Linked DNA regions of Schizosaccharomyces pombe. Changing the gene in region 3 together with the main gene of any one other region gives a genetic interaction. Each region holds a gene or a part of one and is shown on either strand. Other genes may lie near its edges. The genes, in order: pof9, prw1, gdh1 and fml2.

Region 1 (6,620 bases), on a different chromosome or scaffold from region 3:
TCTACAGTAAGGGGGAACCACGTCGTCAGTCCAACCATACTTGCGCAAAGAAAGTGCATAATCAACAAAGTTCCACCTAGCGTTACGAATGAATGGTCGACGACGCTTAACAGCGCTGATTTGTACAGGATCGTTGCGAGAAGGTACCATATCTCGCCAACTCAAAAAGCAAGTTCGAAGCGACATCATAATGAGAAAGCCATATGCCAAACCAAATGTAGAGACATCCTTATAACCAACATGGTGATAGACAGCACACATGCGATACGCCAGTATAACCGTGATGGAACATAACAAAGTGCAGGCGATTTTCCACCGGCGAAAAAAACAAAAGGTTTCGACAAGGTATGTAGCTAAAGGGAATAGATTGAACAGAAGGATGTTATAAATACCTGTGACTGGAAGTTTGGAAGAAGGATCGAAAGAAAATGGATACATGAAAGTAATTGAATTTTAGATCGTGTTCGTAGATGATCAAACGCCGAAAACTTTATAGTGGAGGAATAGGAAAGGAAGAAAAGCAAAAAAGTAAGAAAGAAAATTCGCAGTTAAAACAAAAGTGAAGAAAAAGAACAGATAGGGTAAGACAATACAAGCAACACTAGACGAGACAAGACAAGACAAGGCGAAACAATAAGAAAAGGCAAACCACACTCTATATAACTATGAGACTTTATTTACAATCAATCAGTCAACCGACAAAAATATGAAAAAAAGACAATAATGATAAAAGAAAATGACAAAATGCTTATTGAAAGAAACAAAGAACAACGATGATGATGATGATGATGATGAAGGCAAAGAAAAAAAAGTGTTATAATATAGTTGTTAACAAAAATAAATCAGACACTGTGGAATTACAAATAAATCAGTAATACTTGCTAATTGCATGAAAAGGAAAATAGCATCCCGTAATCTTCAATTGCCCTTCAATCAATCCACGATTTTTTAAATCTGGAAATTTTCGCACAACAGATTTCAGGTACAAGGTAGTCAACCCAACAAGAAAAAATCGTCTCTTAAGATCGATTTCTGCCTGAAAATACCGGTTTTCTCGACACCTGGATCTGTAAACAAAACCCCCAAGTTAGGGTCGCCAGAAAAAAATGGGGTGGTTAGGAATATTACAAACCACCAACGCAAACGACAAATAGAGAGCAAGAGCCCAACAAATTTTGACCACCGAGGATTTAATATGAAAATCGGTAACCTTCCTTACAGTCCAAATCAATTAAAAAAAATAATAATGTTTGGTAAAAACTCGTCGTAGTAGCACAGTAACTTAATTCACAGGGGTCAGGAATATAAATTGGTCAATGTGTGTACTTTATGTAATTGCGATACAGGAAGAAGGAAAAAAAATTTTCTCACTTATTTAATCACCGTTGTGTTTTCCTTGTGCTGCTTTTTTTTATAATTGGCTTACCTAGAGGAATTAGTAAAAATAGAGATAAATTCGGAAGTCCGAGGTGGCCGAGATATTTATTTATTTCACTTACTTAGCGGACAAAATAAAATCCTTCTCTAGTGCGCACGCGGAAATTAGCTTACCAAGCAAAGTTGATCACTATTTCACCTAGCCGTCCCTTTCCAAAGTCCGAGTCGCAGGGGCAGCTAAAAAGCGCAACGCTGGAACTCTGGATGGTCGGATGATAGAAAAAGTTGTAATTGGAGGCACATTGACTTCGGGTAAAACAGATTCCGAAATGGCGAGAGCAGCACTTTGCCATCCGCCGGCTGCAACTGAATAGCAAGTTCCTGAAAAGTGAATTTGATGTGGAATGGAAACGATGTTGCGTGCGGTGCGTGGATCAGAAACAATGCTGGGATCAGATGTCTGTTCTTGCAAATGAAGAGAACCCAAACCTAAACACCCACAATAACGTAATTCAACACCCCACGACCATATGGAATGATCGCTTGTTAAGTAAAGATGATGATGATCGCCATGCGCCAATTGCTTAATTCCTCGGTTCTGGAGAAAGTCGTGGATAACCGGGTCATCATCGACCTGCTTGGTATTAGCATGACCCATGTAAACAGTATTGCCATCGTCCGATAAACATGTGAAAGTTTCAAAGCTGCCTGCTAAATGCCAACCTTGATGGGGGTCGTGCGAAGCGAACCTCTTCAATTCTCTTCCTAGCGTGTGTTGTGTAGCTTGGTCCAGGTCTAAACGAAACACGGCGCCTTTTTTCTGAGGTGATGCGACAGTATACACTAGGAATCCTGCGCAGTGAACATAATCGTTCAGCACGAATTCCTTCATCGATGCCTCTGGCTGGAAAAGTTGCGCTTCACTTTCTCGTCCAGTGTGCCAGACAAGAAAGCCAATGCCCGGCACATACGCCGAATGCGAGTCCCAACCTGATTTAAAATTAGCAATTCTTCCGCGATAGGCTGATAGCATATTTTGTTCATCTGTCAAGCAAATTCGTGTTTTTAGAGATACTTGATACAAGTGTCCCGTCTCACCGAGTGCAAGACAAAACTCTCGACCAGCATGGATTTTCACAATTGGCTCTAAATCTCTCATCAATTCGGGCCCAACATTGTTTGGTACCCCCGTAACATATAAATTTCCGTTTTCATTTAATAAATACATCCCATAACCTCTAAATTCCGCATAGGGAATAGTTAGTCATTGTAGTGCAGTCAAATAAATTCCTGTATCTATGCGCTTACCCAACTTGAACCTGAATAGTAGAACGAACGTCCTTCCCAGTCAATGCACCAGGACGATCTCGAGGATACTGATTTGTATTGACGACGCGGCCCAAATAGTTTCTTATCTGTTGCCCCCATGAGTAAGCGTATCCTCGGTCTTTCCATACAGCATAGGGTCTTTTGTAATTATCATCAACAACTGGGACTACATTGGTGAGACCTTGGACCCGTGCACAAAATCGATGCCAAATTGTTTTGTCGTCAAAAACATACGAAAGTGACTTGCATGTTTCTGACAAATGAACTATATCTTTATAATCAAGATATGTACTAATTTCTAGCAATATATCGTAAGAAAGCTCCAGGAATGGTGATTTAGCCATAATGAATCTCGCATGGGTAGTAGTATATGAATACCTCTGAATATATACAAGGGAAACGGTGTTGAAATACGTCAAAAGCACATGTTTTCTGCAACTCTTAATAACTAGATACAATTGTATTATTTACAATTAATAAATGATAATAAAGAAAGGTCTATGAAACGAAGGTGTAGTCATTGCACGAATCAATTTCAAAGTCTATCAGCATAACGAAGCAGATTTAAGAGTAAATGATCGGCTTTATAAAAACCAATTGAGTAATTCTTGTCTGTTTTAAAGAAGAAAGCTTCTGAACTGCCCCTTTTTTTTTAAGCATTCATTGCACACCCTTTCCAATGAAGCATTGATCATACCAAAATTGTAAATTAAGGAAAAAGAAAAATAAGAGTATCAAAAATAAAGAAGTAGGGTATATAAAAGACGGCTCCTACTACAGAAAAAAAGACCACGCGCACAAGTAAAATATTGCTTTATAAAAACCAAGCCACAGTAGCTCAGAGTTCTTGACAGCGCCTTGCGATTGAAAAATTCTTGGAAATTCTAAATTAATTTTTGTTTTCCAATAGCTTTTTTTGTTGTTGCTCATCAATACCCAAGAGGTAAAGAGCGTTTTGCAAAGATGGAAGATTGATTTTCGAATCAGCCTAATTAAAAAAAAAAATCGAGTTAGTAAGATCATTAAAAACATAAATTTGTAAAAAAATTTCGAACATACCAATAATTGAACTTTGGGTTTAGCTTTGAACGCAATTCCTAAACCGGATTCGGCCATCATGACCAAATCGTTAGCTCCGTCCCCAACAGCCATCGTTTCGAGCTTATTTAAACCCAACTCTTCCCTCTTTTCACGCAAAATGGAAGCTTTTCGTTGTCCATCTACAATTGCACCTTGAACTTTTCCAGTGAGGAATTTACCATCATCGGAAAATTCAAGTACATTGGCATATGCATAGTCCAAGTCCAGTTGTCCCTTGACATATTCAGCCATTGGAACAAATCCACCACTAGCGACAACAAGAGTCGCACCCATTTGCTTAAGGCAATGACAAAGCTGTTTAGCTCCTGGAGTGAAAGTAATTTTGCCAATGACTTTATTTATGACATCGACGCTCAACCCTTGTAGTAGAGAAACGCGACGACGAAGTGATTCTTGAAAGTCAATTTCCCCATTCATTGCAAGAGATGTAATCGTAGCAACCTCTTTCTGGATGCCTGCTTCTGCCGCGAGCTCGTCAATACACTCTTGTTGAATCAACGTCGAGTCCATGTCAAATACTACAAGCTTCTTTTTAGTGGAAAATGTTGCTTCACTCAAGCAATTACAGTCTACATTCTCAGTAGCAGAAATGCGGTTACAAGCGTCTTTAGCATCTTCAAACGTTCCTTTAAGTTGGCCTGATACTAAAGTCCACTGTTCCCCCAGAGAACGAGTCTTCCCATCTCTAAACAAGGAGGAAATCTGTTCAAGCACATTTGGACGATTTGAGGAAACAACTATGGCTGCGTTGACCATGCTTATTAAAAGGTATGAGTGGGTTTGCTAAATTTTCTAAGTTGAAAAGCGTTGTTTTCGGCAAGTCCCATTTACTAATTACTCGGCTATTGATTAAGCTTAACGTTAAACGACAACAAGTACTAGGTCAATTTAAGTTATTTGAAAATCTCAAACAAGCTTATTTTTTGTTATTGTTTACAAATTTATCATTATCTTCAAAATGCTGTATAAATTGTGAAGTTGGTAAAGTGGTGCCTAAACTCCGTTTTCAAACACAGGTTAATAAGCAAATATTTTTTTTATACATTAAAGCAATAAAGCAAGAAATCATAACTAAGAAGATGTTTGGAAATATTGCAATATATCAGGGCAAATATTCCAAAAATGAGAGCCTACCATAAAGTAGAGAGTGAGATATTTGTAAAGTGAAAAAGCACTAAAAAAATATTTGGCAATGTAATAATTGTTCTCTTTCATTCCTAAAAGGTTATACACAATTTAATGTGCTTTACTTAGAGAATCGCTCAAGTACCTCTTCTGATACACCTTTAACGGGAAAAGTGCTGTATTGAATAGCAGAAGGTGCCTTTCGAGGTTCTTTACTCCTATCTCCTCGAGGATAATACTTGTAGCTATAATCAAGACTCTCATCACTTTTTCCGCTACTGCTTTTGGTGTCTTCCCAGGGGTGAGCATTTTTTGAAGGAATTCGGACTTGATCTTCATGTTGTACCAACAAGCCCCGCTGTCCTAAAAAACTGTTAGCTACAATCATTTAATTTAAACAATCATATGTAAATGCGCTTGTAAAATAAATATTCTGTAGGAAAATTTTAACAGAATATTAAAATTGAGTATAATGTTTCATTAACTGCGCTGATTTCTAATTTTCTACTAATTTTTAACATACCAAGCATATAACCAGCAACTCCAAAGGTATAAGTCATGACACACCAAGTTATCTAACAGCAAACTGATCAGCTTACGAAATAATCAACTCAATATATTTTTCAAAAAAAAATTGAGCTTACAAATAGTTCTGGATATTCTCTTGACCAGCGAACCAGGCGGTTCGACATAATTGAGCGCATAATTGACATGATGGTTCCAAAAATAAAAAGTTCTTGTTCGCTTGAATAGTTTGATTAATTGTTTCGAGATGGAAAGGATCTAAAATCCTTTTATGATTGTAAATGTCAAAATGAAATACGTAGGCGAACATTCGCAACATTTATGACAAGCATCAATATTTATGGGGATCGCCACCTGACGCAGACAAGACGTAGCAACGGTGCGCATTAAGAGATTCAAATTTGAATGGATAATAATATCATAATAATCACCAACTCCTTCTACTAAAGTGGTGAAAGAAGCAACTTTCCAATATTTCTAGATTTTCCAGCGTTTGCAATCGGGATCGAACCGCCCTTGTATTTATATTGCTTTATACAGTTTTATAATACTTTTCAGATACTACCTCTACCCTTGTATTATACTATAGAATTTGTTAGGACACTTATTTACTAAACTTTTCCTAAGATTATATTTGTAAATAATAAGAAGAGAACACTAAAAAACTTCGCAAACAAATAAAAATGGTTCGTACCATTATAAATAAATATAGTCATTTTTCAAAATTTAGCTGCCATGAGGTTAGTAACTTAATAGTAGTTGCTGACCGCAAATGTTTCTCCAGTAAAGTAGGTCCAATGTACAAGTACGTTTAAAAGCGTCATTGAGATTTTCTAAGGAATAAGAATTTAATTCATTTCCCTTTAAAACAGGAAATAAAACCAAAGGACCGCTTGGAGTCATGCATATTGAGGAATAACAATCTAATTCGATAATCTTGTGAACTACATTTCCACTAAATACAGTGAATGAAGCCAGGATGGTTTTTCTTAGATGTAGATTAGTAATAATTTTTCTTCAAAATTTCATCCATAACTGACCATATACCGTGTTTCTTGAGTTATTTGTTTACAAGCCATAGAGGTTATTGGGTTATTTCGGGGCTAGTGAAAGTATAGAGATGATCCTTTAAATTAGCCCTTTCATTAATAGCTTCGCGATAA
Region 2 (6,768 bases), on a different chromosome or scaffold from region 3:
CGCCTGACAGCAAAACAGATAATGAAGAGTGAATGGGTTCGTTCCATCACTCTTTGTGAAGCTGGCAATGCTGGTCTGTAAGTAGAGAGTAGGATTTAAAAGTTACAAATCATGACATTCGAAGCTTTCTAAGCTGTTCGAAAATGAGGATTTACTATTGTTACTGTCTTGATTAAACTATGTTTACATGCATAATTTAATTGTATTGAAAGACTTTTGTTTTTTTATTGCATTCACTCTAGAAGGGCGAAGGGATGGGTTTGATCGTGAAACGCGTCACAAATTATTCATAGTTTGACACAATGCCAAGCGCTATTCAACAATCGCTTGTGTTTGTCTATTTTAACTTTATTACACCTCATGTGGTTTCAACACCGGCACTCCAATTGCCAAGAGGAAAGGGAGAGAGTTGGTGTTTAAACTACATATTTTGGGTATATGTATATATTTTTAAAGAATTCTTACATTAAAGCTTTATATTACGTTCGTTATCATTTTTATATGTACACTAGTGAGCGTGGTGTCTGTGATTTGTTGCATGCACTAGTAAGTCACTTTTTAACTAAACCTAGAAAGTTATGAGCACGGAGCTGACATATCTGAGTTACTTCCACTGTCTAAGACATTAGTGTGTGCAGCTACTTAATAATTAAATTCGGTACCAAAACAAAGAAAATCGTGTTGATTGGTTAATGAATGAAAACTCAATTATAGTTAGATAGATGCATATGAAAAGTAAGCTTCTGAACAGGAGCGTGAGCAAAATGTTTCACTATTGGTAGTATAGAACGAACGTTGGGGTTCAAAGGAATCATAGGAATTGAGAGGAGTGCGAGGGCTGAACAATGTATCAAAATCGAAATGTGTTGTGGTGAAATTCAGCCACTTTTATGATGACACAAATCCAACATACATAGCTGAAAAGAAGCTCAGCTTGAAATTGGGGTTTGTACAGATCCAATTACGAATGGTAGGAAATGTTGATTGAGTATTAAACCTACCTGAACTTGGGAAATGAAATCCAGTATACTGCTCCGTAGGACCTATAACTTGTTGCTGCAGCTGGGGCCAATTAATTCGGATCAGACCTTTACTGTTAATATACTAATAAACGTATTGTGTTAGTATTATGAAAGATAAATACGATTTTCAGTGCGAAACACAAGGTTTTTAAAACCTCTAAATATAAATAAAGAATCAAACTTAAGCACTTACAGCAATGGTAGCGAAAACGGCGGAGCAGGCAACGATGAATAAACGGCCCAATTTTCCTAAAGCAAATCCGGCTGCTAAACCAAGAGAGCTTCCAATAAAGATTTGACGGTAATTCAGCTTAAATTGAGAGGTGATAGTAGTTGCAGCACTTGCCGAATCTTCACACAAGACTGGGCGAAATGGGTGAAACCTGTGCAAGAATCCTCTTCCTAGAAGTAAACAATTCATTATGTGAGAGTAAAAAATAAAGAAAAATAATAGAAAAGGTACAAATTTGGTGGAAACGGTTTAGTCTAAAGGTGGGAATTATTACGAAACGTCATGTCTCGAAGATGTAAATAAAAGATGGATAAAGTATCTTCGTTGCTTTTTCTTAATCAGCTTACTGAGAAAGTGTGTGTCTTAAGGTAGATTTATTATAAGAGAAAGATGTAAACAAATGTATTGTGTACGAAGTATTTAAGTGAAAGGTAATTTTGTGCTTCTTCATCATCGTTTCTAAAATTAATAATGTTCCTTTTTAAGATCAACGATCTTTTAGTTTGGTATGACTTGCTTCGAAGTTCTTTTTTCTTGATGTAAAGAACGGCATACATATTGAAACGGGATTGTCTTCATTTTAACAATTAAATTAAATATATTTCTCATTTCTTTTACTAAGGGTACGCAAGAATACGAGGGCATCTTGAATTCGGCTTCTTGCTCGTTTGGTTTTCAGTATGACTTGATGCATTTTCCAAGGATTGCAGAACAGGTGGGAGATCATTATTTTAAATCATATACTTTTTATTCACGCTCAATTGAATATTCAAAAAAAGGAGAACTTCAGAAATTTTGGCTGCGTTTTGCTATTGGCGATACACAAGTTGAATGTACCTTAAAACTAAGAGGAACATAATTTTTTTACCAATTTTAATAATCCTGCTTCTCAAGCGGTTGTTGCCTTGTGTGACTAAAAAAAAGCTTCAAAGTGTTTCTGTTCTTGACGCACTGATTCATGCAGAAGTTAGAGTAGATGAAATTAGCATGAAAGCAAAGTAAAAAAAAACTCATCTAAATTAAAGATTCTTAACTCTCAGCTCTATAAATTTATCTTTCCATCTTGTGTCTTATAGCAGTCCATCGGGAAGCTTGTGCTACCCAAATTATATCTCACTTCTGTATACATATGTTCAGCAAACATAATCATTTTTAGTAATTCAACTTTTTACAATTAACAGTCTCTTTAAAAGTTGCAATTTCTAGCACTGTGGAAACGCATCTCAGGTCGAGAGAGAAGATGAAAAGACGCTAGCCGAAGCATGAGACAAGATTAAGTTTCTATTGTTTTTTCCCATTTAAACATCTATACGGCTGTGATTATATAAAACCTAAACAATCTTAATTTATAAACCAACCTGCACCTATTTAAGAACACTTAGTGTGCACATTAGCGCTGCACGCGTCTACTCACCATCCACCAAAAAGCAGATTCAATCATTTTAACTAGAACATAATGGCTGTATCAGCTGTTCCCCATCCTTCCAAGCAAGCGCAGGCTTCGGAGGAGGGAATAAATCAAGAAAAATGCATCAATGAAGGTATGTCTGCAACGTTTTAACATACAATTTCTAGTTGATCAATGTAAAATGTGTTTCTAATCTGAAACAGAGTATAAAATTTGGAAAAAGAACTCACCGTTCCTTTACGATTTAATAATTACTAGAGCTTTGGAATGGCCTTGTATGTCACTACAATGGTATCCAGAGCAGCAAATGTAAGTCAATCATTTGAATCATAATGTTTAATCTTGTTTATGTGACTCAAAAAACTTACCATTATTTTTTGTTATAGTTTTGCAGAACATGGATATACTGAGCAGAAAATGTTTCTGGGAGTTCGTGCTGATGTTGGCAAATACTTACTAGCTGTTGCGTCTATTCAATTACCCTATTTAAATCAGACTGTTCCTCCTACTACAATGGAGGGAGCATCTGCGGGTGACGAGTCTTCTCTACGTGTTAATATCTCAAATCTTTATTCTCATCCTGAGTCTGTTTGTAGTGCGAAGCTTATGCCACAAGACGATTCTTGTGTAGCTACGGTGGGTAACTATCATAATGATGTGTTGGTTTTTGACAAGGAATCCTTCGAATCTTATAGCTCGGCTAGTGAGTCTCCTCTTAAGCCCAAATATAGATTGACCAAACATACCCAGCCCTGTACTAGTGTTTGTTGGAATTTTCTTTCTAAGGGTACTTTGGTTTCTGGATCGCAAGACGCTACTCTTTCTTGTTGGGATTTGAATGCTTACAACGAGTCAGATTCAGCGTCAGTTTTGAAAGTGCATATAAGCAGCCATGAAAAACAGGTCAGTGATGTACGCTTTCATTATAAGCACCAGGATCTTCTTGCTTCAGTTTCCTATGATCAGTACCTTCATGTTCATGATATTCGTCGCCCTGATGCTTCCACAAAGCCAGCTCGAAGTGTGCATGCCCATAGCGGTCCTATTCATTCTGTTGCTTTCAACCCTCATAACGACTTTATTTTGGCTACTTGTTCGACTGACAAAACCATTGCACTTTGGGATTTACGGAACCTTAATCAACGCTTACATACATTAGAAGGACATGAAGACATTGTAACAAAAATTAGCTTTTCTCCTCATGAAGAGCCTATTCTTGCTTCTACCTCAGCCGATAGAAGGACCTTAGTTTGGGATCTTTCAAGAATCGGGGAAGATCAGCCTGCTGAGGAAGCTCAAGACGGTCCTCCGGAGCTTCTTTTTATGCACGGAGGCCATACTTCTTGTACAATTGACATGGATTGGTGTCCTAATTATAATTGGACAATGGCAACCGCTGCTGAAGATAATATTCTTCAAATTTGGACACCTTCTCGCTCAATTTGGGGTAATGAACAATTAGAGGAAGATGCTACGGCATATTTAAGTTAACCGGTCGTATACAACATTCATTGATATTTTACTTAATGTCCCAAACCTGTTTCTCTCTTTAACTCCTTTTTTTTTCTACCCTAATTGCACATAAAAGCAAGTTTTTGATTAACATATATATATTTAATTTTGTTTTTTTTACATGTTCAGAATACTCGTAAGGCAGCACGAGATAACTCCCATAAAAAGTATTATGAAACGATACAGTGTCGGTAGACGTGTGATTTGCAAACACCTAGAGATAATGTGATTTTCATTTGCAAAACATAGATAGATATTGCAAAGGCCAATGGTAGTACACAAACATACATAAGTTTCTATATCATAAGATGTTAATAAACAAAAGACAGGATTTTCACTTACTTTTTTTCCAAATAGGTGACAAAAACTCGGAACTTTGGTTTATTCCAATACAAATTCCTAAATATTGTAAAGAACTTAAAAGAAATATGCTAGTCACTAGCACGTTTTTCGTATTTGATTTTTCAAGTTGCCATTCAGGTAATTCAACCCAGTTCAACTCGTGTAGTATTAAAGTCAGCAAGCCATGGGATAGCCATATTAATACTGATTGAATTCCTAAATCCTTTACTCTTCCTTTGCCAAACAATGTTGAATTAGGGCGATTGCTTGTCAAATTTTGAGCAGGGTCGAAGTAACTCATAGCTGCTGACAGTGGAAATATGATTAACAGATCCATAAACAAAAATTGGTTATCGTTAAAGTTATAATTTTTTAAATAGAGAAAGAAGACACCAGAAAACTGGACTATAGCACACAACACCATATATTGAAAACAACGATGGCTAAGTATTAAGGAGCATCTGCCCTCCAATAAGACATTAAAAACATCCTTAATTGATTTTTTTTTGCTAACAAAGGAAGCTGCAGCACATGCCTCGGAATCAGAGAGAGAAACTCCAACATCGGCTTGCTTCAAAGCAATACAGTCATTTGCCCCGTCACCGCAAAAGCCAACTTTGCAGCCATATTTTTGACAAAGCTCCACATATGTAGCCTTGTCAAAAGGGGACATTCTAGCGAGAACCCTTAGTTTACTTAATAAGATTTTAATTTCATTAAAAGAAAGCATGGTCAATAATCTTTGAAGTAGTTTTCCATCCATACAAAGGCTTGAATCCTTCTCGAGGATTACATCTTTTAAAGAGAAGCCGTCGGGAATGGGCTGAAAGTTCTGAGTTTGTAAATCTATTTTTTCAAAATGGATTTGTGGACAATCATCCCCAGAATCTGCTAGTTCAGCTGTGTATATAAAATTGCATGAGTCTAATGCACCGCAATGCTTAGCAACGAAAACACTAGTGAACAATGAATCGCCAGAACAAATCGAAACTTCCATTTTGCTTCTTAAAAGAGAGGAAATAACATCTTTAGATGATTCTCTTAAAGGGCTCTCTAATACAAACAATCCTTGAAAGGTAACATTGGATTCTAGAGTAGAACGAGAAAGATGTATCAATTCTTGAAGTGGAGTAATAAGGTTCTTGGATGCAAATGCAATGATTCGAAACCCTTTAGATGAAAGCGTATGAATAACTTCCTGTACATTGCTTGGAATGGACTGTTGAGAAGAAATAGCTAATATCGATTCTGGAGCTCCTTTTGTGAATAACATTAAAGACCTCTCAGTACTAGTAGAGCAAATTACTGACATCCGACGTAAAACCGGATCAAATTCCAATGCCTTATAGATAGAAAAAATTTGACTGGGTCCATCGAAAGAATTGGATACGGAAAATAACGGAGGATGTGGAGTATTTGAAGCTCTGATAGTGGCACAAAAAGTTCCATTGAACTGAGTAAAGAGTGTGACTTCCAAAGGATCACCAACAAGTTCATTACCAACAAGTTCCAATGATTGAGAACATGTAGCTACTCTGTAGGCATGTGCGTTTAACTTTGTACTATCGAGAGATAAACTGTCAGCATCAACTTGTTTAAGTAATCCATTTGATCCACTTTTAACATAGACACAAGAAAGCTGCACAGAGTTTTCTGTTAGAGTACCAGTTTTATCGAATACAAACGTAGATAAGCATCCAGCATTATGAATGCTAATACAAAGTTAGTAAATGAATAAAATTCTCTTTGAAATGCATACCTTTCAGGGGAAGTGGTGTAAATTAATGCACGACTAAGCCTGGCAATTGAGTTAGCTATCCCTACAGATAATGTCGCAGGCAAAGCCGGGGGGACTAAAATAGTTAAAACATCGAGGGAGCGTAAAACAACATGTCCAAAAGATGCGTTATATAAATTCAAGTAAATAGCAATGAAAACTATGGAAACAAAGGACAAAATAGCCATTGTTTTCAGGAAAGACATAGAATCTAGATAAAGTTGGGAAGGTCTCAAATTGGGATAAAGAAGATTTCTAATTAACTGTCCCTTGTTAGATCTAAACCCTGTTCGGACTACAGATATCAAACAAGGGGTTGATGGAGTACTGTCAATTTTCAGAAATTTTGTACCAGCATGAATAAGATGAGGAGAAAAAATGTTGCAGGAAGCGATCATCCACGAATCCAATGAATTATCTTCTAAGGGAAACTTTCTGGCAGGAACCGATTCTCCAGTTACCATGCTTTCATCTA
Region 3 (7,445 bases):
TGACAGCATTAGCTGGATTTCTTCTTTACAAGGAGTAAAGTTTCGATCAAAATTAATGGCATATTTTTATCCTCTCCTTGAACATTTGGCGTTTGCTTCTCCTTATGTATCTTCGTTTGCAGAGGCATGTATTCAAGCAATTGCGACAAATTGCAACTACTCGACGCCAGCAGAGTTACTTAGAGAAAATATTGACTATGTGGTCAACTCAGTTGCCCTCAAATTGAACACATTAGACGTATCACCTCAACTTCCAATTGTGATGGCTTATGTAATAAAGAATGACGATGGAGGATGCATTCGGTACATTGGAGATGTAGTGGATGCTATTTTTGGGATTTTGGATGCTTACCATGGTTACGCACGGCTTACAGAAGGGTTGCTTGGAATTCTTTATGCCATAATAAAGCAAGAAAGTATAAATGGCGAGGAGAAAAAGCTCATCGTCGGGGTGGAGGAGGACGCAATGAACGAGGATAAAAATAAGCCATGTAAAAAGATTCGCGAATTCGTTCAACTACTATTAGAGAACCCTAATTATCCTCTTCCAAAAGATGATCATGAACTAGAGGATATGATACACGATGAACAACAAGAAACGAAAAGTGGACATGAACAGTTTCGCGAACATGCAATGAAGGAAAAAGAAAAGAAGGGCAAAGAAAATGAAAATATGGGTGAGACCACAGTTGATCATGAAAACATAAATAGTAATGTTATGGACGAACAAGGAGAAAAGCAAAAAGATGATGTCGTCGATATGGTAAGGAAAATCACGGAAAAGGCGCAGTTATTCTTATCACATGAACAAATTACGATACGAGTGGAAATGTTAAAATTGTTGAGCTATGGAAGCAATGTTTTGGCTAAGGAGCCAAACACATTTTATCCTGCTATTAATACATTTTGGCCATTGGTCGTTATTCAGCTTGACACGGATAACGAACTGCTAGTAGAATGCGCATTAGAAACTATATATCAAGTTTGCGCCCTTGCAGATGATTTTATGACATCTAGGATTCGCCAAGATTTGCTTCCACGATTGGAGACGTTGTGCCAACGTTGGCATCTTTTCAATGTTGCTCGAACATATTCTAGTGAGCATCGTTTGCAAAGGGCAATGCTAAAAGTAACTTCAGCATGTGTGGCTAACAAATTGAGCATTGTAGTGTATTTGAAGCTTATGGGGATAACGGCACCCATCATACGAGCCATTACTCACATGTCTCAAAAGTATGCGGGGGATGAATCATTGGTGGAAGAAACTTGGAACGCATTTTCCAAGCAAAATCCCGACGCAGTGTATTATGAGAGAGAAGTTCGAGGGTCTCAAATGATTGACACTTTCTCTACTGAATTGTTAATTCCGGGAAAGCAACGTGTTCAACGTACATATCGCCGAACACATGAAGTTTTGGAACCTGTCGGAGCAAAGACGTCGGAGACTGTTTTCAATGATTTGCTTGGGCAACAAGGCAGCGGGAAAACCGAGACACAAGAGGAACCACTCCCTTCTTTGGACAATTTGTTACACTTGAATCAACCGAAAAAAGGAGCTAAAAAACCATTGATTTCCATCATTTAACGATAATAAAAGTGGTTACCAGTTTTAGAATTTTCCGTGTTTTAAAAGAAAATACAAAGAGCCTAAAAATCAGGCAAAGAATTCCATTACATCGCATAAAATTATATTGGCAAAGGCTCGACTTTTTTCATCTTGGCATTATTTGATTTGACTAAGGCTGTACTCGATTCAACTTGTTTCGATTTAGATGAGCCATTTTACCTACATTCAATGAGTCAGACTCAACGAATTTAGCTAAGTTGACGAAACGAGGCTGGCAGCTACCTAAATTATACTAAAAAACAAACTCATCTTGCTACCGAGCACAACGACGATCGCACCTTGTTTCGTAGTTTCGCTAATCTTTCGAATGAACTATTTTCTATCCAATTTTAGATTCAAAGCAAACAGCCACATGATCGGGCAAGGAATAAATGGACAAACGATAGTGGGATAGTGGGTTATCAGAAGACCAAAAAATAAAGAAATTTGAAATTTTTCTAACTTACATCTACGCTACGAATTTCATGACTCTGTTTCGTTTGTCTTTTTTCTATTGAAAGCTAGTCATGACTATGGCTGCTAAGGCGCAATACGTTTGGATGAGCGAATGTTTAGTCCATACTGTAAAACCGAGGCAAGGCCGTTTACTCGAATTTTCGGATATGTATTTGCGATTTGGTCTGCCTGGAAGAACCTACCCGTTTCAGTGTGATTCGACCTATTTCAGTATTTAGCGTTTTTTTCTTTTGGTACTATCCTTAGTTATCCTTGTTATCAGTAAGGGGGCAGCAACTGAAAGGAGTAAAGAATAGACCCTTTAAATGGATGTGAGAGATTGGAACGAGATTAGATTAACAAAGGACTTGGACTTTTCCAGATTTTTTTTCTTAAAAAAATTATAGAAACTGTTAATCAACAGAAAGCGAAAATCTTCTATATTACAACATTAACCTCTCTAAAACATTTTTTTTTCATCTAAAAACATCTTTCCCCCCCCCCCAAGCACCCCATCCCACTAAGGATCTTCTATAATTCCATGGATTTTCCCGGAGGAGCTGCGTTTTCCCCACATTTTCAGTAGGGTGGGTGATAGCCGTTGCACGGACCAATCATTAAGCAATGCTTATCTTATCTTTATTTGGTTGAGCAGGAGACGAAGGAATTCTGTGAGGGGGTTGGCTTATCAGATCGGAAATTTTCCGCTTAAGTAATCTTCTTTTCCACTATCCAATTATAGAGAAAAGAGATATATAGGAGCATTGTGATTGGAGATTTTGACATCATACTTACATCCTATTCGTCTGTTATCTCCGCCATCGCTCTTCCATCAGGTTTATTGCAAGTCGTCAGCCATTAGCAAACGTATGGTCTCCCAAAAAACAAGGTATCTGGTGTGACTGTTGATTATTGCTTGTTAAGTGTATAAATATAGCAGACATGGCCAGCACGTCCCTGAATCCTCCTGCTACACTGCACTGGTACATCTGGTAAGCGTTTTGAACCCGGATCGATATCTCTTACATACTCACGTTGTAAGAGTTTTGTTGGATTGTAGTTAAATTTTGAAAGTCTTTGCGTTGAAGGCGTCGAATACGGATTTGTATAGAACTTTGGATTGTACAGCCTGTATTTGTATTGTTAAAAGTTTTCGAGGTCGCCTTTTTTTGATATCTCGAATTCTCTAAACTTATCATTATTATATAGATATACACTCTATATCACTACCTTCGATTTTGTTTACTTTTTTGGCCCACCATGAGTACCCCATACGAACCTGAATTTCAACAAGCCTACAAGGAGATTGTGGGCTCCATCGAGAGCTCCAAGCTCTTTGAAGTTCATCCCGAGTTGAAGCGTGTGCTTCCAATCATTTCCATTCCCGAACGTGTCTTAGAATTCCGCGTCACATGGGAGGACGATAAAGGTAACTGCCGTGTTAACACCGGCTACCGTGTCCAATTCAACTCGGCTTTGGGCCCCTACAAGGGTGGATTGCGTTTCCATCCTTCCGTCAACTTGAGCATCCTCAAGTTCTTGGGCTTTGAACAAATTTTCAAGAATGCCTTGACGGGCCTTCCCATGGGTGGTGGCAAAGGTGGTTCTGACTTCGACCCCAAGGGCAAATCCGACAACGAGATTCGTCGCTTCTCGCAAGCTTTCATGCGTCAGCTTTTCCGCTATATCGGTCCTCAAACTGATGTACCGGCTGGTGATATTGGTGTCACAGGTTTTGTCGTTATGCACATGTTTGGTGAGTACAAGCGTCTTCGCAATGAGTACAGTGGTGTCGTCACCGGCAAGCACATGCTTACCGGCGGTAGCAACATTCGTCCTGAAGCCACTGGCTACGGTGTCGTTTACTATGTTAAGCACATGATTGAACACCGCACCAAGGGTGCCGAGACCTTGAAGGGCAAGCGTGTTGCCATCTCCGGTAGCGGCAACGTTGCTCAATATGCTGCCTTGAAGTGCATTCAAGAAGGCGCTATTGTTAAGAGTATCAGTGACTCTAAAGGTGTCCTAATTGCAAAGACCGCTGAAGGCCTTGTCCCTGAAGAGATCCATGAAATTATGGCTCTAAAGGAGAAGCGTGCCAGCATTGCCGACTCTGCTTCTCTTTGCAAGAAGCATCACTACATCGCCGGTGCTCGTCCCTGGACTAATGTTGGTGAAATTGACATTGCTTTGCCTTGTGCAACTCAAAACGAAGTTAGCGGTGAGGAAGCCGCCGCTCTTATCAAACAAGGATGTCGCTACGTTGCTGAGGGCTCCAACATGGGTTCTTCTGCTGAGGCCGTTGAAGTCTTTGAGAAGTCTCGTGCTTCTGGTGAGGGTTGCTGGCTTGCTCCTGGTAAGGCTGCCAATGCTGGTGGTGTCGCCGTTTCTGGCTTGGAAATGGCTCAAAATGCTCAATTCTCTACCTGGACTCATGCCGAGGTTGACGCTAAATTGGCTGGAATTATGCAAAACATCTTTGAACAATCCACCGATGTCGCCTCCAAGTATTGTGACTCTGGCTCTAACAACATTCCCAGTCTTGTCGATGGTGCCAACATTGCTGGTTTCTTGAAGGTTGCTACTGCCATGCAAGCCGTTGGTGACTGGTGGTAGACTTCATTCGTGAAATGTTTAGGCATTTTTGATTCACTGTATCTGTATATGTTTTTTCAAGTCACTCGCTTTTCTGTACCTCTTCTACTTTACCAATTTTTTTAAAAAGCTATGAATCTATTAGATGATTATGATGCATACGAAAAAAAATAAATCAGTCTTTGAATTATTCTCACAGATGCTTCGAATACGAAGTACCCGTAATTATGTAGACTTTTCATGTAATAAAAGGATCATTTGATTTTCTAGTTCCGCTCAAGGCGCCTCCTTTATTCAATTAATTTTAACTGGTATTTGATAGCTGTATGAAATTATTATTTATGAGAATCCTTTGAAGAATTTACTAAAAAGAATTTTTTAACGTTATGTAAATGATAGACTTGTATAAGAAAATAGTTGAGAAATAACAATTGCTGTTAAAAATGTGAAGAATAGACTAAATTATTAAAATACATAGGGCTCATAACGGTAAATTAAACATGGGCATTATTTGTACCCAAAAGAAGGGCTCTGCCTTCAGCTAAATAGGCAGCCGAGGTTTCATTAAACAGATCATCATCGTTTTCTGAATTCAGTGATGAATCATCAAAGTCATCGGAAGAGCTGGCACTGGATGATTTGCGCAGCGTAATGGAATAAATGAATTGTCGCAACCTATATTTTAAAGAAATCATAGAAAAAATAATCGGCAGTAGTATAAAGGTTGGATAACGTTTGCTAATAAGATTTCCAAGTGGTAAGAGGTCAATACTCTCACCATAGAATTGATGGAATTGGGTGGGATAAGGTTGTAGAGAAACAAAGTTATAACAAAGAGGAAGCGTTAAGCGACAAAGTTGAGATGCGAAGTATATCAAGGAGGCCGTATTTGTAGCTCGGAAAGGAACTAATGCATAATAGTAATGTGGCGCAAATTGAGTTCGCATCAAGGATTTGTACGTGCAGTATCGCATGTAATAAACAAATAAAAACGATACAAAAATAGAAGTGGCAGACGAATTGGTAAACTTTTGTAAGATAATACCAACCAAGGAATATTGAGTGTGCAAAAACACTTCTGATACCACAATGATTACACTCATTGAAGCCATAAATATTGAGAACAAAATTCTAAAAGCTGGAAGAATCCAAACGTAAAATGCATATGCAACGACAGGGTGTATTGGAATATATGAGTCTGGTAAGTATAGACGATAAGAGCCAGATGCTTTAGCAGTTTTGATCAGCATAATACGATTATATTCTTTTACCATTTGATTCCAAGTAGTTTGTAAAGCGATCACGTTAGACATTCCATTTGGAGAACTGTGAGGATTGAATGCGTGATCAGTAAGAGATGAAGTAAAAAAATCGCTGCTAGATTGATTCCGGCCGTTATTTAAGCTAATGGATGAAGATGGTAAAGAGTAGCTCTCGAGCCGAGCTTGAAGTTTGCTGTATACTCCGACAGCCTGGCGCTCAAGAAGCGCGGCACGTTTTGTAATAAATGCCTTTTTCCACATACTAACCGGGACATACACAAAACCATTTCCCAGAAGAAATATGACAAATAAGAGTCCCCAAAAGTATGTAAGGGAAATCACCAATTCTTTAAAGTTGGAGAAAGACATAGTTCGCAAGGCGAATCGCAAGTACGCAATTACGACACATGTCAAAAATGTCAAAAGTAAATAATATCTAAGGTTTTTGTAAAAAGAATCACTAAGACGACTTCTCGGCGTTGAAAATTTACTTTCCATATAACCTTGGACAAAAGGTAAGATGATCCAACTGAGCACGAATGTTAACCAATATAGGAATCGCCATATTGAGAGTGAAACATCCTACAAATAAGTTAGTAAAATTTAAACCATGAAATCAGTAGAAGAGTAATAATTGTATTCATAAAGCTTGAAGTAATTTCGATAAAGTGTAATCAATCTCGCAACAAGTTCAAGAAGGCTTTTAGAGGCCCTATATAGTACTTGAACAATTAGATGACTTCCAATTCTGTATTTGTATGATATTTAGCTACCTACCCAAGTTACGTCGATAGGAATTAACAACGTTACAACGAATGGTACATATAAGCCTAAAAATACGAAAATTCCAGGAATTGAAATTAAAGAATGTGGTTCAATGTATTTATATATCCAAATTAAGGTGAAAAGTGCTGGTATAAGTAATAATAGCAAAAGGCCCAACATTTCGATGAGGCAAACGGTAGGTGTGATTGGAAATCCGAGATGGGTCATATACACGGGAATTTTGAGGAAGTGCAAAAATACTTCAAAAATAGCTTCGAATATAATTTTATTATCTTGAACGTTTTTAAATCTTAATAAACACAAAATCCCTACATTGAACCAACTGCTCATCATTATTTAATTATGCTATCCACATGTAAATAAAGCGACGAATATGCACTAAATATATTGAATTTGATAAATATTTTTATTTAAAAAATAGCGCTTAAAAAATATTTTTACCAAACTTAATTATCCTAACTGTGAAACTACAATGTGAAATTTCGGGCATGTTGTCTACAAATTGAATATTTTAGTTTTTAGATTTCGTTTGTACCGTATATCATTGAAAATTATATCGCTTTAAATTATTTAAAATAATTCAAAATTTAATAAAAAAATTTTGATAGTATATATAAATCTCTCACGTCTCATTATAACAACTTGAAACTGAGTTAAATTATTTATTTTATAATGAATACAAAATCCTTCAAAAGAAAATTGCACATATTTATTAAGCTATTAAATAGCGATTAACTTAT
Region 4 (9,009 bases), on a different chromosome or scaffold from region 3:
AGCTATTGCTTGTTATTTTCTTTGGGAAAGGACAATGTTCTCTCTGAGAATGCAATTATCCATTCTTGTCGGAATTATTTGCAATTTTGCATACGGCTTATTACACTCGTATCGATGGTAAACCCGTTCATTTTTGTTAAAATTTTTGTCCAATACAATTAATCGTTCCACTTTTCGTTGCACTTGTTAATTATGACTACAGTTTAATTGAGGATTAATAATGTCGAATTTTATGATCTATTCGCTTTGATCAAGCGTTAACTTATTAAATGTACGTTTAAAACACCATTTGGATTTATTAAGAAGTGTAAAGTAGGATAACTGTAAAAGTGTCGTATTGAGTGTGCAAAAGTAAAATATGCATATATTCATCGCTAGAATGAAAGATACCAATCAGATCCTAAAACAAAAAAAAACACACACAATAGAGGAGAGTGCTTCTAAAACAATAAAAAGAAGAAGAAATATGAAGGATTATTTTACAACCGGTATCTAAATGGGCTGACCCAAGATTTAAGAAAATTTCCAGCGATTTCCGCAAACAGTACATTCACAAAACTAAAAAAAAATTAGTCCAAATATTCTACCCAAATAGACTAATGCTTACCGTTGTCATAGGCTCATCAGCAGATCTATACGGATTGTTAATAAATTTTACGCGATAAAAAGTACTAAAATCATGACAAATAACATACCTTGTTTGCATTTGGTAATAAGAAACTTTTTTTTGCTTACACTTCCCACAAGTAAAAAGGTCTGTAACAGCTTTTTGGGGTTTAGCACCTTGCGCATGGAATAAATTTTCTTGTTCTAGCTTGGCATCTTCCTTGCGACGGTCTTCTGAAGCCAATTCGGCAGAAGTCATGGTACTGAGTCTTTGCGGAGTAATTTCATTTCGTAATACTGATGCTCTAAGTTTCGGGTTATTTTTATCTTTAAGATTCATATACAAGGACCGCATTCTGTTTCGATATTCAGAACCAGTTTTACCTGCTGCTCTAGCAAGTACTTGCGCATCAATTTCTTTGGCTTTGGCTATTATTAATGAAGAAGATTCATCCGAATCTATGACTAATGCATTGTACATTAATCCAATACAGTTGTTGCGAATCTTGTCATCAGTCACATTGACGTTCACATTATCAGATTTAAAAGTACGCTGACCACTGCTGCTTTGTTTTTGAACTTGTTTTTGAGCTTGAGAACCTACATCCGCATGTTTAGAAGGCGTGGAGGAAGTTGTAGTTGTGGTTTTCAATGGACGACCTTTACTAACATCGGCTTTCCATTTTTTTACAATTTCCCGAGCTTGCTCACCAACTTTCTCATTGGGATGAGATCTGAGCTTGCCAACGACTAATCCCAGCCGGGTTTCCTAGCATCATTGGTTAGTATTTTGAATACCGATTCTCCATCAAATGTTGGTACTCTTGTGGAATTCGTATTTTAAGAAAGATGTTATTTCTATTAAGTGAAATTTGCAAAATTCATGTAATATATTGTCAACAATCCGTGCGAGAATACTACCATATTGCATGTAATAAACCTACCTTAAGTAATTCTTCGGTAGCAACTACTTCATTTTTTAAACGTGTCATAATGTTAATTATAGTCTAGCTTGATATTAGCTTCAAAACCATCTGTAAGTCCCAATAGCACAAATTACAAACCTCTATATTCTTTCCCTGAATAGCTTTTTCCAAAGCTGCTTTCGCAGATCGGATATCAGCAGAGTCCATGATTCAAATTAAGTTCGAATACTGTAAACACTGCTGTTGGTTAGCAGATTGCAAAATTAATAATCTTATGGTGGTAGAGGATTTATTTTGGATAACGCGCTTTACATCTCACATGTCTACTAATACCGTTGTGATTTTTCTTCACCACCATAGTTGCTGATGTGAATATCAACACCCCGTAACGTGATTTTGTTAGTTGAATTCTTGAGTTTGACAGTTTTTTTTTCAAGTTTGCAAACTGTTTTCTGTTTATCGCATTAGTACTCGTGTTTATTTTACAACGTTAAATTTTCATGCTCCTCCGCTGACTTGATCTTACTCAATTGTTAATTGTTTTATCAGCTTTGTTTATGAAAAGCAAAGATTATAATGTTGTTTGATCAAATTGAAGAAACTTGATGTTCAAGAATTTAAAAGTTTGATATTCAGTTTATTTTTGAAACTTACTTTGGTCTATGTGTTCGTTCGTTTTCATAAATTTAGTTTCATGATTGTACTGAGAGACTCAAGTGACTATTCCGACTCTGAAGTAGACCTGCCAAGTATCGAGGTGAACGGAGAACGAGGAAATGTTCCTACCTCAGTGCTTTGTAATGTTGAAGGATCTTTGTTGAATTCTAATCCTGCTTTAAGGCAACCAAATTTGAAATGTATAAAACATAATCAAGACGTTGAAAATACTACGTTTCAACTAGACTTGCGAGGCTGTAGGGTTCCTTCTTCTCAACCTCAAGTTATAACTGAGTTAGAAAACAATATTGACATTCCAAAAAATATTGATGCAATGCAAAACTGGATTTTTCCACAGACTCAGCAGTATAGAAATTATCAAAAGGAATTTTGTGAGCAAGCATTATTCCACAATTTATTACTGGCTCTACCTACTGGGTTGGGAAAGACATTTATTGCGGCAGTGGTCATGTTAAACTATTTTCGTTGGTTTCCTGAAAGCAAAATAATATTTCTTGCCCCCACAAAACCATTACTGTTGCAACAAAGAGTTGCTTGTTCCAATGTAGCGGGAATGTCACCAGGTGCTACCGCTGAATTGAACGGTGAAGTATCACCGGATCGTCGACTTTTCGAATACAATACGAAACGAGTATTTTTCATGACTCCACAAACACTCCAGAATGATTTAAAGGAACATTTACTGGATGCCAAAAGTATTATTTGCCTGATATTTGATGAAGCTCATAGAGCTACTGGCAACCATTCGTATGCTCAGGTTATGAGGGCAGTGCTTAGATCTAATAGTCATTTTCGAGTCCTTGGTTTAACCGCAACTCCAGGATCTTCTACCGCCTCTGTTCAAAAGGTAGTAGATTGCCTCCATATCTCCAAACTCATTGTTCGCAACGAAGAAAGTATAGATATTCGCTCATATGTTTTTCATAAAAAGATTCAGTTGATTAAGGTCACGATCTCCTCTGAAATGAATATTTTAAAATCGGACTTTGCTAACCTATACCGGCCATATTTTAATTTTCTCCGTCAAAAAAAACTTATACCTATCAATTGTGAATGCCTTAATATAAAAGCTTATACGCTTTTCGTTTCTTTACGAAAGTATTCCTTTAGTTCAAAAAATGTACAATCTAAAGAAAAATCAAAAATCATGAGTTGCTTTACGCTATTGATTTCATGTGCTCATATAACGTATCTGTTAGATTGTCATGGGATTATCCAATTTTATCAAAAGCTTGTGGAAACTAAAAATAAAGCTGAAGGAAAAGGGAGTGGACAAAGCTTTTGGTTGTTTACTAGTAAACCGTTTGCTTTTTATTTAGAACACCTTCACAATAAAATTCAAGGTTTGTCATTAAACCATCCTAAAATGAATCATCTTCTTGAACTTTTGAAAGAACATTTCAAAGATACTTCTGAAGGCTATCAAAATCAACGAGTTATGATTTTCACAGAATTTCGAAACACTGCTGAATATATCACAACGACATTGTTGGCAATTCGACCTATGGTTCGAGCTTCTTTATTTATTGGGCAGGCGAACTCGGCTTACTCAACTGGCATGAATCAGATGCAACAAAAAGAAACTATCGATCAATTTCGTGCAGGTGTTATAAACACGCTAGTTGCTACATCAATCGGCGAAGAGGGTTTAGACATTGGTGATACCGATATGATTATTTGCTATGATGCTTCATCTTCACCGATACGCACGATTCAAAGAATGGGTAGAACTGGTCGTAAGAAAAGTGGAAAAGTTTTTGTGCTTCTTACCGAAGATTGTGAAGATTCTAAATGGGAGCGATCTCAAGTTTCCTACAGAAGGGTTCAAAAGGTAATTGAATCCGGTAAAAAAATAGCACTTAAAAAGGACGTTCCTCGTTTAATCCCTAGCAACATACAACCTATTTTTAAATTTCAAGCTTTACAGAACAATGCGGACGCAACATTGATATTAAACTCATATAACAATAATTCCTCATCATTGTCACCTGTAAATACACTAGCGAACCAAGCGCATTCTCGTTCTAAACGGTATCTTCCTTTCATAGTGGATGATGTTTTTGAAGATATGGAAAGCAACCTACGGGTGCCTACTGAAGACGCAAAAATTAAGCGATTTAAATCGGATTATAGAAGTTGTATTTATAACGCCAGACGCAATGTATTTTCAAAGCCTACCTATATGGGTGACAAATTGACTAAGTTCGCAAAAGTACCACATTCTTTATTAACGCTCAGCATCTATAGACGGGGTAGACTTTTGCAACAATGCTCGCCTTCCTCTGTCACCAAATACTTAAAATATGAAGAGAAATTTAAACGGAAGCGGATGAAGAAAACGTCGAATGCATTATTTCAAAGTACATGAAATTACTGATTAAATACCTTAAAGAAAAAAATATCATAATCCGAAACTTTAGTAGGAACTTATGTGAGTTTAAGCTTATTTATTTGTTATATAGTAACTTTTACCTTAGAACGCAATGTCTTTCAAGCTGTCACAAAATTTCTATTCTGGTTTTTGAAGCCTTCTTCTCCGTAAATAAGCTTGGAATAAAAATTCTACCGCTTCAGTATTCATTTTGGTATCTTGCCACGTATCGCCCCAGCAGTAAATACCGTGATCTCTAACAATTACAGCACAAGTATCTGGGTACAAATTGATCGCTTCTTGCAAACTATCATGAAGATCAGACTCATGAGCAGTATTATTGATAACTATTCGGTTAGCAGCCTTTTATAAAAGTTTGTAAACTCATACATGGAATTTTTATCTTATCTGTTGGCTTATGAAACCCATTATTTTTAGATCCTTTTGGAATATACGATAGTACTTCAAAACCTGTTGCCGAAAAATGATCAGAATCCGCAAATAGAGTAGACAATAAAATGGCTTCCTGAGAATGGGTATGGATACATGCATATGCGTCACGCAAGCTACTGCTTTAGTAAAGAATTCAATGTTCAACAACTTTGCTGACTTACGTGTATACTGCTAAAAACAAAGGTGTACACTGAGAAGGTTTCAATCGAAGAGCTGGCATTCGCATATATTCTCGAGTACTGCAAGAGGTTAGCATCTACTCAAAATGATAAAAACAATGACAATAATAATATCATACATTAAAGACATGACAAAAAGATGGTGTAACTCCATCCTTTCCTTTTGTACACCCGAGGGAGCGATTACAATGGCATCTCTACATGAAAGTTAATATTTGACGCTTTAATAATGCTTTGTACCCAGAGCGAATGGTAATTCCTCCTCTGATTCTTTTATTAGTTATATTAAATTCAAATTAGTAATTACCCAGTTCCTGTAACCCAGCCCGACGTATACAGATCTCGACAGATTTCGCAAATTAATTCACCACATTTTTTCAAATCGCCAGAACGAAGACATCCTAAGTCTTTCTTTAGAAAATCATCCATTATTACTATGATGATAATTATCTTGATGAAAAATTTTGAAAAGGGTCACGTTTCATTAACGTTTAAAAATTTTTAAGTAGCAAAAGTAACTGTGAGTTTAATCTACGCGACATTAAGCAAACAAAGTGAAGTAAAGAATTGATGTGTATAATAGCTATCTTGATAATTATTATTTTTTTTTATGAAATTATTAAACATTGTGTCATGGCACTTGAATAAATAGGAAGTACTAAGTTTTTGCTTAAAACAAAAAGTTTATTACAGTCTATTAACCTAATGAAAATAAAGTACAATAGAAATCAATTAATAATTTTTTTATTCAGTCATCCCCAAATATTGCACTGAAAAGAGTTTGGGGAGCTTTTGGTTTTTCTTCTATATCCTGGGGTCGATTCAACTTCCTTGTATCAATTGAATCGATACTTTTGTTTTCAATTTCAGCAATAATAGGTACATTTTCAATAGAAGAAATATTTTTACGCTTTTGTTTTTCTTGACCGTACGGTAAGGCGACATTAAAGCGTTTACAAAGAAGACGTTCGGGAATGAATGTAACAACTGTACGAGGTCTTCTCAAAATTGAATCATCAGTTTCACTATGTGAATTAATCGACTCTTTTTTAGTCGAGGCTTCAAAAGAACTTACGAAACGCATCGATAGATTTTTTGACATAGGTCGGTATAGTGAAGCTGTTTGAGTAAATTCTAGTAAATGACGAGAATCAATATCTCTGAGTAATCGTGGCATATTCATTAGGTGCGCCTTAAGGAAAATCTCGTAAATTCCGGCACGCTCATCGTTATAGGGATTATCTTTCCTAGACATTGCATTTTTAGCTGTCTCAATGTCAATTAGTTGCCAAGATCCCTCATCTTCCTTGACACCATGATTAACATCACTAGGTAAACTTGCTTCACCGTTGGAATTTGTTTCACTTTTCTCAGCAAAAAGTGGTAAGCGCTCATTTGAAGTTTGGGCTTTTTTTTGTGAAAATCCTTGAGAATTTGTAAAAAGTTTTGGCTCCCAACCCTCAGGTATTGTAGGAGGAGGAAACCAATTATTTTGAAAAGGTGATTGTAAATTAAATACCACTACAAATCCTGGAAGGGGAGGTAGACCATCTGAGCAATTTTGCGATTTGATTATGCTTTTCCCTTTGCTTCTGTCTTTTTTTGACAGAAAGGTATGCTTAACGGGTGTAAATGGAGAAGCGACTTTTTTTGTAATGTTGATAGATTTATCATACCGCATTTTTGGAGCACCGAGGTCGTATATATCTTGATCTTCTATCCCATCATCATTTAAAACACCTGATCCAAATCCACCGCGCAGATTTTTTGCCATTCCAACTGGTTTTCTTTCCAGCTGAAAAACATCGTCCGCTTGATACCCGATACCGTGATAAGCTTGGTTGGTTAACTTAGTGTCATCATAATACCCTTGAAATGGAGATATAACAAAATCATGACCGTTCCATCCAAGATTTTTTAACATTTTTTCGCCAATGCTATCGTCCCTATTTGAGAATTCTCTAAGTAGAGGATCATCAATTGGTATAGATGTATCAATCGTATTTATTTTCGAAGTATAAACTTTACTAAGCTCTTGGTCAGCACGATCTTCCTCGTCCATAATATCGTCAATAGTCATTCCATGCACACTTTTGTTTTCATTCCTTGAACTTTTCCAAGATTTAGGTTGCCAACCCTCTTTTGAACCAACCGTATTAAAATAGCCAGCAGAAAATCCACCAGTAAATGCACCATGAAATCTCTTTCTATTACGCTCATCCCTGGCTTCTTGTTTCCAAACAGGAACTCCTTGATTAATTCTGGACGGCTCAAGATCAAAAGGGGAGCCATAAACTACATAAGGGTGCCGATGAACATCGACATTGCTTCTTTTTCTTGAATTGGCATACATTTTAAAACAAGAAGTAATCGTGATCCGTAGTTAAACTGAAAAAAAAAAAATTCAAAATTCAAAATTTAAGGCATATTTTAGGATACTATAAGCCCATTATTTTTGAGGCGACAAGAATACTATGTTGAGCAACTTTTAATTTTTAATAAAGCCAGATAACTTATCAAAGAATTCTGATTTGTTGACAAAAGCAATTACAATACTCAATTTTTAAACAGTTGCCCTTGCTTCGAATTTCAGCTGCCTCCGTAGTGCAATCTGCGAGCGTTAGGGTACGTTATTTATCTATTACCTAATTCTTTGTACAGTTGAAGTTTCATGAGATGAAAAATGTATCATGTATATTTTGTCTGTTATTGAGAAATCTCAACAAAGTTCTATTTAGTATTACTTCATGTTGAACCAAGCATTCATAAACTAAGAAATTTGTTGGTAGCTGGTAAACTGAGCGAATTATCGTCGGTTGATTGGTAAAACATCATTTCTTATACTTCGTTTGCTCAACCATACTACGAATTTTAATGCCTAACAATTAATGAGCAATACACATTTGGATATGCTGCTTATATAATTTCACATATCTTGATAACTTAATTATCAATTAAGGAATGGTGGTTAGGCAAGTATGTGTATCATTACGTGGGGTTTTTCATAGATGTATGGTTTGAAGATGTTAAAAAAATAAGTGTAAGCGGTTACTATGCTAATGTTCTATAAAAACCAATGTTCATATAAATATTCGTCGATTGCGGGGCTTCTTCTCATAAGGATTATAATTACTAAACATAGAGGTATTGGCAGGTCAGTTGTAATTCGCGTACAACATCTTCGACTCACCACTTCTATAGTGGTACATAAATTACCGTTTCTTTCTGCGAAAAAGTGGGTTAGAAGTTCGTGCTATTACTTCTAAATAATCGTGAGAATTTAATTCAATCGTAGGATACAAAGCTGTTCATTATATAAAACTATCAACTTTCGAATATTCTATGGTGTGGATATAATTTTCATTTATCTTTATGAGTAAAAACTATACATATCATATTTACAATTAAAAATCTTCTTTCTTTCTACTATATGGATGGATATTTCGAATTATGTTGACAATTTCTACTTTGATGAGAAAATTGCTTCAGCATTTGAATTAGGTAAGCGTTTAGTAGTTCAATAAGCTTGCACATAAAAAAAAAATATTGGGTTTTTGTACCGGGATCTTAAAAGACGGAATTACTGACAGCTTTAGGAGAAGTAAGCACGGTTGATTTGTTAACGCTGGATATTACTGAGCTAGAAAGACGCACACATTGTAGTCAAAGTGAGTTATTACAGTTAATTGAGCAGATATCCCTCCTTCTTCAACCAGTAAGATGTTCTGCTTCCAAAGTCACTTCGAAATATTTGACAACTGGCGATGTAAAGTTGGATGAAACTCTACATGGAGGT

What was found.
Region 1: mutations in gdh1 (region 3) and pof9 together harm fitness less than expected from each alone (positive genetic interaction), as found in Schizosaccharomyces pombe (one large-scale study listed by BioGRID).
Region 2: mutations in gdh1 (region 3) and prw1 together harm fitness more than expected from each alone (negative genetic interaction), as found in Schizosaccharomyces pombe (one large-scale study listed by BioGRID).
Region 4: mutations in gdh1 (region 3) and fml2 together harm fitness less than expected from each alone (positive genetic interaction), as found in Schizosaccharomyces pombe (one large-scale study listed by BioGRID).

What each region holds. Positions count from the first base shown.
Region 1 is NC_003423.3:1,868,277-1,874,896, reverse strand, and holds pof9 (F-box protein Pof9), read right to left. Parts: upstream 3,065-6,620; 5' UTR 3,051-3,064; coding exon 2,686-3,050; exon of another isoform or gene 2,616-2,685; coding exon 1,577-2,615; downstream 1-1,576. Other genes in the region: SPOM_SPBC3H7.05C (uncharacterized protein), read right to left, coding at 1-438; phosphoserine phosphatase Ser2, read right to left, coding at 3,596-3,694, 3,766-4,563; SPOM_SPBC3H7.08C (uncharacterized protein), read right to left, coding at 5,054-5,295, 5,456-5,507, 5,577-5,645.
Region 2 is NC_003424.3:5,107,817-5,114,584, reverse strand, and holds prw1 (histone chaperone, Clr6 and Rpd3L complex subunit Prw1), read left to right. Parts: upstream 1-2,702; 5' UTR 2,703-2,710; coding exon 2,711-2,795; exon of another isoform or gene 2,796-2,865; coding exon 2,866-2,971; exon of another isoform or gene 2,972-3,048; coding exon 3,049-4,153; 3' UTR 4,154-4,291; downstream 4,292-6,768. Other genes in the region: serine/threonine protein kinase Hal4, read left to right, coding at 1-81; fun14 (integral mitochondrial outer membrane (MOM) protein), read right to left, coding at 889-1,104, 1,216-1,443; Ca(2+)/Mn(2+)-transporting P-type ATPase P5 type Cta5, read right to left, coding at 4,292-4,470, 4,517-6,228, 6,276-6,768. UniProt on the Schizosaccharomyces pombe protein: Has a role in chromatin assembly and chromosome segregation. Involved in the deacetylation of histones.
Region 3 is NC_003421.2:1,416,690-1,424,134, reverse strand, and holds gdh1 (NADP-specific glutamate dehydrogenase Gdh1), read left to right. Parts: upstream 1-2,931; 5' UTR 2,932-3,322; coding exon 3,323-4,678; 3' UTR 4,679-5,004; downstream 5,005-7,445. Other genes in the region: TTT co-chaperone complex, armadillo-type fold subunit Tti1, read left to right, coding at 1-1,585; lmb1 (plasma membrane LMBR1-like multi-pass membrane protein, human LMBRD2 ortholog, implicated in signaling), read right to left, coding at 5,152-6,501, 6,697-6,864.
Region 4 is NC_003424.3:2,114,643-2,123,651, forward strand, and holds fml2 (ATP-dependent 3'-5'-directionality DNA helicase fml2), read left to right. Parts: upstream 1-1,882; 5' UTR 1,883-2,226; coding exon 2,227-4,578; 3' UTR 4,579-4,719; coding exon of another isoform or gene 4,720-4,928; 3' UTR 4,929-4,971; coding exon of another isoform or gene 4,972-5,147; 3' UTR 5,148-5,195; coding exon of another isoform or gene 5,196-5,273; 3' UTR 5,274-5,332; coding exon of another isoform or gene 5,333-5,410; 3' UTR 5,411-5,453; coding exon of another isoform or gene 5,454-5,477; intron 5,478-5,513; 3' UTR 5,514-5,520; downstream 5,521-9,009. Other genes in the region: protein dsc3, read left to right, coding at 1-121; tfs1 (general transcription elongation factor TFIIS), read right to left, coding at 514-558, 608-632, 696-1,375, 1,551-1,613, 1,671-1,739; mde1 (5'-methylthioribulose-1-phosphate dehydratase), read right to left, coding at 4,720-4,928, 4,972-5,147, 5,196-5,273, 5,333-5,410, 5,454-5,477, 5,521-5,642; gpl1 (Gpl1-Gih35-Wdr83 complex RNA-binding subunit), read right to left, coding at 5,962-7,566; rad57 (DNA recombination mediator, RecA family ATPase Rad57/Rhp57), read left to right, coding at 8,648-8,714, 8,810-9,009.